2 linked regions of the Oryctolagus cuniculus genome follow. The protein of the gene in region 2 interacts with the protein of the main gene of each other region in a pairwise test. Links are inferred from orthologs where the notes say so. Each region holds a gene or a part of one and is shown on either strand. Other genes may lie near its edges.

What was found.
Region 1: the proteins of CCDC116 (region 2) and BEX3 interact in binary tests that used the Homo sapiens proteins (3 or more experiments, as listed by UniProt). The two-hybrid records come from large-scale screens. The link is inferred for Oryctolagus cuniculus from reciprocal best matches to the Homo sapiens genes CCDC116 and BEX3.

Annotation. Positions count from the first base shown.
Region 1 is NC_091453.1:90,036,097-90,039,592, forward strand, and holds BEX3 (protein BEX3), read left to right. Parts: upstream 1-1,343; 5' UTR 1,344-1,398; intron 1,399-1,400; exon of another isoform or gene 1,401-1,588; intron 1,589-1,764; 5' UTR 1,765-1,850; intron 1,851-2,214; 5' UTR 2,215-2,247; coding exon 2,248-2,583; 3' UTR 2,584-2,829; downstream 2,830-3,496. UniProt on the Homo sapiens protein: May be a signaling adapter molecule involved in NGFR/p75NTR-mediated apoptosis induced by NGF. Plays a role in zinc-triggered neuronal death.
Region 2 is NC_091452.1:29,153,864-29,158,354, forward strand, and holds the start of CCDC116 (coiled-coil domain-containing protein 116), read right to left. Parts: upstream 3,105-4,491; 5' UTR 2,816-3,104; intron 2,552-2,815; 5' UTR 2,500-2,551; coding exon 2,428-2,499; intron 2,076-2,427; coding exon 1,530-2,075; intron 1,408-1,529; coding exon 823-1,407; intron 1-822.

The sequences.
Region 1 (3,496 bases), on a different chromosome or scaffold from region 2:
TGGGGCCCAAACCAGAGGCAGTAAAGCATTTGTCTGGTCTGTCTTGTCTTAGGGCAGTATATGATGATTTCCTTTTTTTTTTATCACAATCAACAACTACTAAATACTTTTTCATAACAATGCCCCTTTCTTTATGTTATCTCTCTAGCTGTGATAACTGTTTAAAAAAGGATTTCAAGTTGAAGAACAGAACGTTTGTACTTGGGATGAGTTTCAGTCTTTAGTCACTGCACACACAACCCCGGTTTATTTCTAATATTTTTGAAAGACATCAAAAAGTAGATGGCTTTGAGTCTAATTTCTGACTATTAGAGACTTAACTTCTGAGCTCCTTCTAAGAAAATATTTGTCAGGGTGGTTTGGAAAGTTTGGAAAGGAAGGCAGGGAATAAAAAGGCTCCTTTACTCTGATGCCTGGGGGTATCAAAACCATCACACAAAGTTTTATAAAATGCCCTAAGTCTGACAACCAGACTTCTCTCTGAAGATTTACTTTACAGATTACATTGCAAACACCAGCTGTATTCAGGAAGGGTCCCTCCTTTTTCCAAACAAAATTTTGCAACAGGCCAGCAGTACAGTATGTTTCCAAAGTGATGTTAATGTTGTGTGGAGCCCAGAGAAAATATTTTCTGTGTGGTACAGGTCTACATAAACAATGAGGCTTTTTCATTCTGCAGGATGAAGCATTTCTTTCAAAAATGAAAACTGGTTATTTCTAATTTTCTGAGGCATGCTACTTAAAAAAAAAAGGAAATAGAAAAGTATACACAGCCCATTCCCCTTCCTCATCTCCCTTTCTGACGAGTCCCCTTCTGCCTCTTCAACTCAGTCCTTATTCTAAACTTCCTAGCAGGGTAAGACTTAGCGGCTAGGTGGGCATTGGTGACTGAAAGGGCAAGATGGGGAGAGAGGGCACAGGGGAAAGTTCAAAGCCAAGGAGAAAGGAGAGAAAGCAGAAAAGGTCAAAACCAAGAATGCAGTGAGGTGGGAATGCGGGTGATGGAAGATAATACAGAACTTCCTTAGAAACCAGCAGCGAGCAAATTCCAACCATAAGGCGATGATGCCACTTGTAGGCCCTCAGATTGGAGAGTATGGAGATGAGTGACAGGGCGGTGTACATCGGGGCACCACCGCACAAAGATAGGCGGTGTGAGTGTTTCGGGGGCGGGGGGTGGGTAAAGGATGCGTGTGCTTGTGGCTGCTGGGGGCGGGGGGCTCAGCAACACTGGCCGCTGGAGTCGGGGGCGAGCGCGGCGGTGACGCGCGGCCGTCACGTGACCCCGAGCTGCAGAGGGACGCAGCCTCGGGTGCAGTCGTCACTCGCGTCTGGCTACCAGCTCCCCGCTGCCCTGCGCTCGGCGGGCTGGCATCGGGCCCGGGCAGAGCGGAGCAGGTGAGGGCCCCGGCGGCCAGGGCGGCAGCGGCGGGCGAGGAGAACAGCGCAGCGGGCCCCGCCGCTTTCTGTTTATACAGTGGCCCCCAGGAGTAGGGGTGCAGGGGCGGCTGGGGTGCTGGAGGGGAGAGCAGCAGAGCAGGCAGGAGCCAGAGGAAGTCCCCCCGCCCCGGGACGCTGCGGGAAAACGGTGAACACCGGAGGGGGCGGGGCGGCTCTGCGGAGGGACGCGGCCGCTGAGGGCCTGGACGGAGGCGCGGGGGCCAGGGCGGCGGGAAGGGGCCGGCAGGGGGCGGGGAGGGGGGGCGTAGCGGTGCCGAGCGCTCGCCTGCAGCCGCCCCCTCTCCCCGACCCCGCCGTCTGCAGGTCTGCAGGTCTGAGGCGCTGAGTGTCGCGGCGGCGCGCCGGCGGCGAGAATCGGGAGGAGGAGGAGACCGCAAGGATAGGCCCAGGTCGGTGGGACAGACCGGGGTGGGGGCGGCGGGGAGGAGCGTGCGGAAACCCTATCTGGGACCCCAGACCCCTCCAGCGACCCGTGCCCCCTCCCCCTCCCTGTCCCTGTCCTCCATTTTGGTGCCTGCAGAGCTCTGGGAAAGAATCCTGGGAAAAGAAAAATGGTGGGCTTTGGAGGGGATGGGGGATGAGGGGAGGAGGAGGAGAGAGAGCTAGAGGGAGGGGCTCGCATTGGAGGCCCCCTAGAGGGCGCACGAAGCGTCGAAGGTGGGAAAAATTAAACCTGTGGTGTCAGGGCTCTGAATCCTGCTGGTCAGTGCACCACGCATTCAGTCTCTCCTCACCCTTTACTTGTGTCCAAAGAAACACAGCCAGAAAAAAAAAATTCAATTCACCATGGCAAATATCCACCAGGAAAACGAACCAATGGAGCAGCCCATGCCGAATGGAGAAGACCGCCCTTTGGGAGGAGGTGAAGGCCACCAGCCTGCAGGAAATAACAGACGGGGACAGGCTCGCCGACTTGCCCCTAATTTTCGATGGGCCATACCCAATAGGCAGGGCAATGATGGGATGGGTGGAGATGGGGATGATATGGAAATGTTCATGGAGGAGATGAGAGAAATCAGGAGAAAACTTAGGGAGTTGCAGCTGAGGAATTGTTTGCGTATCCTTATGGGGGAGCTCTCCAATCACCATGACCATCATGATGAATTTTGCCTTATGCCTTGACTTCTGCCCTTTTCCGTGAGATTAATACTGTGATTCCCATTGATTTCCTTTTCCTTGCATTTTCCCAACATGCCTTTATGGATCCATTTGCTGTGAACCTTATGTTATTTCCATGTGTCAAGTGGGTCTTGTGTTGCCAGCTTCTAATTGAAAATTGCATCTGCACCCAGACTAAGTTTCTGTCAGAGTAGAGTTTCATCCATTTGCATGGAAAAATGTAAAGTTAATAAAGCAATTGAAAAGCAATCTAGATATTTATTATTGTCTCATTGAAGAGTATAGACTCATAAAACAGGAGCCAAAAGTATGAAATGAAACACAGCAAAGTGTTCACTGGGATGCATTTCTGTGTGGCGAGATATTGTGTGACTTTTCCTCTTTTTATCTGGAGTTTGAGAAGCAATGGAAATGATTTTTCAACGAGTATCTGAATAAAATGCAGGTACATAACAATTACTGGCTCAACAGACCTAAAGAAGAGTAAACCTTGATATTTTCCAGTCTTAACTGAATAATTCCTCCCTTCATTATAGTTACATTACTTTAGAGTCCTGTGAAATGAGGAACAATGCTTATCTTACAGGGCTGCTAAGTGGACCAGATGAGGGATGAAACTGTTGGGCTGGCTCCTCTTTAACTCCCAGCATTTAATAGGCTCCTTTCGCATACTTTGGGAGGACTGGAAGGAGTTCTCACCCATTTTCACAAGTACAGAAAGCAAAAATATGTGGGTTCTCCTATTCCATTCTTCCATTGTTTGCAATCTTGCTCCCCTGCCATATCCATATTCTGCTCCTTACTGATTTGGTTCTTGTTGAAGACATGAGTCTTCAAGGTAACTAAACCTCATGGATTTCTCTGGAGTGCTTGGTGAGCCAAATCCCCCTTTGACCTCTCTAGAAGCCTGGGGAAT
Region 2 (4,491 bases):
GCAGGGACAGTGCCTGTGCCGGGATACCCCCCCCAGGGGCGAGCCACCTGCTCTTTGCTATCTTCCCTTTCTGGGCACCCCCCAGTTCCGCCACTTAGCAGCGCACACGCATGCGCGGAGTGAGCCCCTGCCCCTGGGTTACAGGCAGCCAGACCTAGAATTCAAGCCTGCCCTGGGCCAAAGGCTGCTGTCCGTGAGGGATGAGAAAGGCCCTTTCTCGTGCTGCAGGGCCTCCAAGATTCAAAATCAATGTTGAAGAGGAGAGGAAAAAAAAAAGACCCAGGATAAAAAATAACTTTTATTCTTCTTCTTCTTTTTTTTTTTTTTTCTTTTTAGATAAACACCCTCCATCGGCTTTTGTCCCCTGCCCGGGAGATTTCCAACAGCACTGGGCAAGAGGCCTGGTCCCTGGGGCCGCCCTGCCTGGTGACAGCGCTGCTAGCAGTGGTGGGTGAAGGAGCCCTTGGCCCACAGTCTAGGTCCCAGGGAATGCAAGCCCTGGCAGAGAGAAGCCGAGGACTGGGAAAGGCTTCTTACTAAGGATGTGGTGGGAGAGGGCATGGGGACGAAGTAGCGGGGAGAGGACGGGCAGGAGGACAGGGGTGGAGGCGTGATCGGGCCCCTGAGGCGCCCATGGCTGGAGGCCACCTCCACCGTGACCCCAGGGGCTGGCAGCGTGAGGTGCAGGCCCCGCCAGGGCCGGGCCCTGTGGCTGGAGCTCAGGGACACAGGCGGTTTCTGGGATTCGGGCTCTGAGACAGGCCCCTCCTGCTTGGGGTGATGTGAGAGGCTTGGGACAGCGGGCTCTCCCGTGGGTGTCACCTTGAGCTTGAATCTGGTGGCACTAGTCATGGAGGGGGAGCCCCGTGTGCCCTTGCTTTTCCTGCGCTCCGTCCTGGGGATGGAGGTGGTGGTGTTGGGGGATGCTGCCTCCTCCTTGTCGGTGGGCGAGGCCAGCTGGGAGCCTGGGGGCAGCAGATTGTAGTGGAGGGGCAGCTCTGATGAGGCCTCCGCGTTGGCGGGGAAGAGTGGGCAGCCGTCGTGCCGCCGGGCACCGCTGAGCTTGTCCACAGCTTGGCTGACCACGCTCTGCAGCGCGGGGAACAGGTGATGCTGAGCCAGAAAGTCCAGGGTGCAGTGGGGCTGGCGCAGCGAGCAGTAGCCAGGCAGGTCGAGGGCCGCCGGCTGGCTCAGTAGCGCCATGAGCTTTTTGTCGAACTCCTGCTTGAGGAAGCTCAGCTCCTCCTCACTGGGCGTCTGCCCTGATGCTTCCGGGGTGCCCGTGCTGGAACTCAGCAGGTCTGAGAACCAGGACAGGGGCTGCTCCGGGGACCACTGGCTGGTGGTCTGGCTGCCCAGGGAATCCCACCGCAGGGAGTCCTTCCGGGAGGGCTGACTCCTGCTTTTCTGCGGAGAGAGGGGGAATCACACTTGCCCAGGATCCTGCCAAGCCGCCAGCCCCTCCCGCCCCAGTCTCCGCCCCACCCCACCGCATCCCCACCCCGCCAAGCCTTGCCCTCGGATCTCACCCCTTTCCTCTCCAGTTTCAGTAACCGCTTGAGGCTCTGCTCCAGCAAAAGCCTGTCTTTCAGAGGGGGCAGGGAGCCTGAGCCTCGGGCCCCCAGGTCACTGCCCTGGCCATGGGACCCCAGCCAGCCAGCAGTGAGGCTGCTGCGGGAGTCCGACACGGAGCTGGAGCGGGATGGATAGTTGTTGGGGCGGCCAACACACAGGCTGGGCTGAGCGCGGTTCCGGCAGACCGTGCTCCAGGTGGGCCGGGCCCGGGGCCGCCGCCCTCCGCTGGCAGGCTCCACCACTGGATCTCGCACCTCCACCAGCGGCACGCCAGCCCCCGTCTTCATGGTGGCCATGCGCTCCGTGGCCTCCTCTACCACCGTCTGCAGGCTCTCGAGCACCTGACCCTCGGTCAGGAAATCCAGGAAGCTGCCGAAGGACTGGGGGCCCTTGGTGTCTCGGTGGGGACCTGGCTGCGCTGAGGTGCCCTGCGTGAACCGCGGGGGTGGCACACGGGCCGACCCCATTTGTGGCAATGGGGGTTTCTTGAGAGACTGCACCTGGGCAGACAGGCAGAGCACAGTGGGTAGTGGGCAGGGACACCTTTTACAGGGCGAAGAGGACCCTGGCTCCCCATATGCCCAAGGCCAGCTCCGTCGCCCCTGTCCGGAGCACCTACTTCTTCACCTTGAGCCCTAGGCCCCGAGGACCCCTCCTGGGGTCGCTGGAGGTCAGCGGGGGACACGGGGAAGGGAAGTGGGGGGTGATGAGGCCCCAGGAGGGCCCCGGGCAAGGACAAGGCAGCGGCAACGGCTGCTTAAGGAGGCCCACAGGCACCGAGCAAGGGGGCTGTGGTTTCAGGGGGAACGCACAGGGATCCCTGGGGTCAGCGTCCTGCGGGGGATCACTTACCCGGGCCACATAGGGACTGTGGCCGGCCTCATCGTCGGCCAAGTATCCCGAGTGGTAGCGGAAGCTGGCCATGGTGCGGGTGGCCAGGCCCCCTGCCGGCTTCCTCTCTTTGCGATCCACAGCACTGCGCGCAAGGACGGGGAGACGGCTGTGAGGGTCTATCCAGGCTCCAGGGGGACAGTCTCCCCGCACCCCGCGATCCCCAGGCATCTGCGGACAGTCTGATGAGCCTGGAGTATGTGTGTGTGTGTGTGTGTGTGTATTGGGGTGGGGGGTCCTCCGAAGAGCGTCAGAAATCGTGCCTCCGAGCATCTCTGGGTTTGAGTGCGCTCCCAGACCCCGCGTGACCCGGCCTCTGCTCCCGGCCCCGGCCCACCCACCCGCTCACCTGAGACCCCGGCTCTGCCGCGCGCGGTCCTGCGCCCCGTGCGCCCGCCGGAGGGAGGGCAGCGGCGCGGACCGCTTCGAGTCTCCAGGCGGCCGCCCAGCTCACTAATTTGCATACCGAGCTCTGATTGGCTTACACTGGGACGGTCGCCCGCTAACTCCCCCGACACAATGGTTGTGGGGGCGTGGTCTGCCTTGGTTCCTCCCTCGCTGGGCAGGGTTTCGCTCCGCCCCGCCCCATTCTCCGAGAGCCAGGGGACCAGAGAGAAGCTGCTACCCACCCCCCCACCCCCCGCCCCGACCCGGCTCGGTCCGGCCCCTGGAGCCGTGGTCCGCACCTGTGCTGCGGGGACCTTGCGAGCCAGAGCCACAGCTTTGACGGCACCACTGGGAGACAATACCCCCATCAGGGTGTCACCTGCTTGTGTGACAGGCGCCTGCTTTGGGCAGAGCTTGAGCCAGTCACCCCTAACCTCTGATATTTCCAAGGTCTGGCACCCAGTGGGTGCTCAGTATATGCCAGTTTCCACCTTCCAGTCTGTGACCCCGCCAGCCCCAGCCTCTGACCTTTCTGGGATCAGCTTCCCAGTGGGCGGCGGTGGTGGACTGGGGTCATCAGTGGTCGTTACAGCAGCCTCCTAGGCCAAGAGCCCGGGAGAAGGGCTCTGTGAAGCCTCCAGCCCTGTCCAGGTTCCCTGATGCCTTGTTTGTCATTTTCAGAGTCCACTCTGGCCCTGAGGTAGGGGGCCAACAGGACCGGAGCCAACCCGGGACCACCGGGCCAGGCCCAACTCCACTACTCCCCAGCAGGACCATGCCTCTTGGATCTGAGCCTCAGGATCTACGGCCATGGAACAAGAATGGCATTACCGACTTCATAGTCTGGGCACGGATAGACCCTTCCCCATAGGGAAAACCAAAGACAGTCGCGGATATAACAAAAACTCTGTTTTTCATGGTGACTCTTAGTCACAGGTAAGGAAAGCTTTCCTGGGCCAGAGAAGGGACAAAAGAAAAAAAAAAAAAAAAGTGATGTCGTGAAGGTGAAAGTTGTGGGCTGGCACAGGGCTTGAGACGGAAGCCGGGGCTATTGCTTTCCTATGAGGACAATGGTGTACGTGTTTTGTTCATTTTCTCATTATTTGAGGCTTTTACAAATCAAGGGAAACACTCTTAGAGGAAAAAAAATCATCAAAGGACAACAGGCAATCTGAAAAGGAGATGAAAATACCCAATAAAGTGAAAAAAGCCAAACACACTCTTATTAAAAAAAATTACAAGAATGAGCTAAGGGTGGGTACTTGTGGCACAGCAGCTTAAGCTGCAGCTTGGCATGCCATCCCTTATCCAAGCACTGGTTCGAGTCCCGGCCGCTCCACTTCCGATCCAGCTCCCTGCTAATGTGCCTGGAAATGCAGCAGGAGATGGCCTGAGTGCATGGGTCCCTGCACCCACAAGGGGAACCAGGATGGCGCTCCAGGCTCCTGACGTCTACCAGGACCAGCACTGGCTGTTGCAGCTATCTGGGGAGTGAACCAGCGGATGGAAAACTCTCCCCCTCCCCGCCCCGCTTCCTTCTCCCACTTTCTGTCTCTTTGCCTCTCGAATGAATAAGTCTTTAAAAATAATGAGATAAAACTCGCGTGATCATATTTATCTTCTCTAAATGAGACCAAA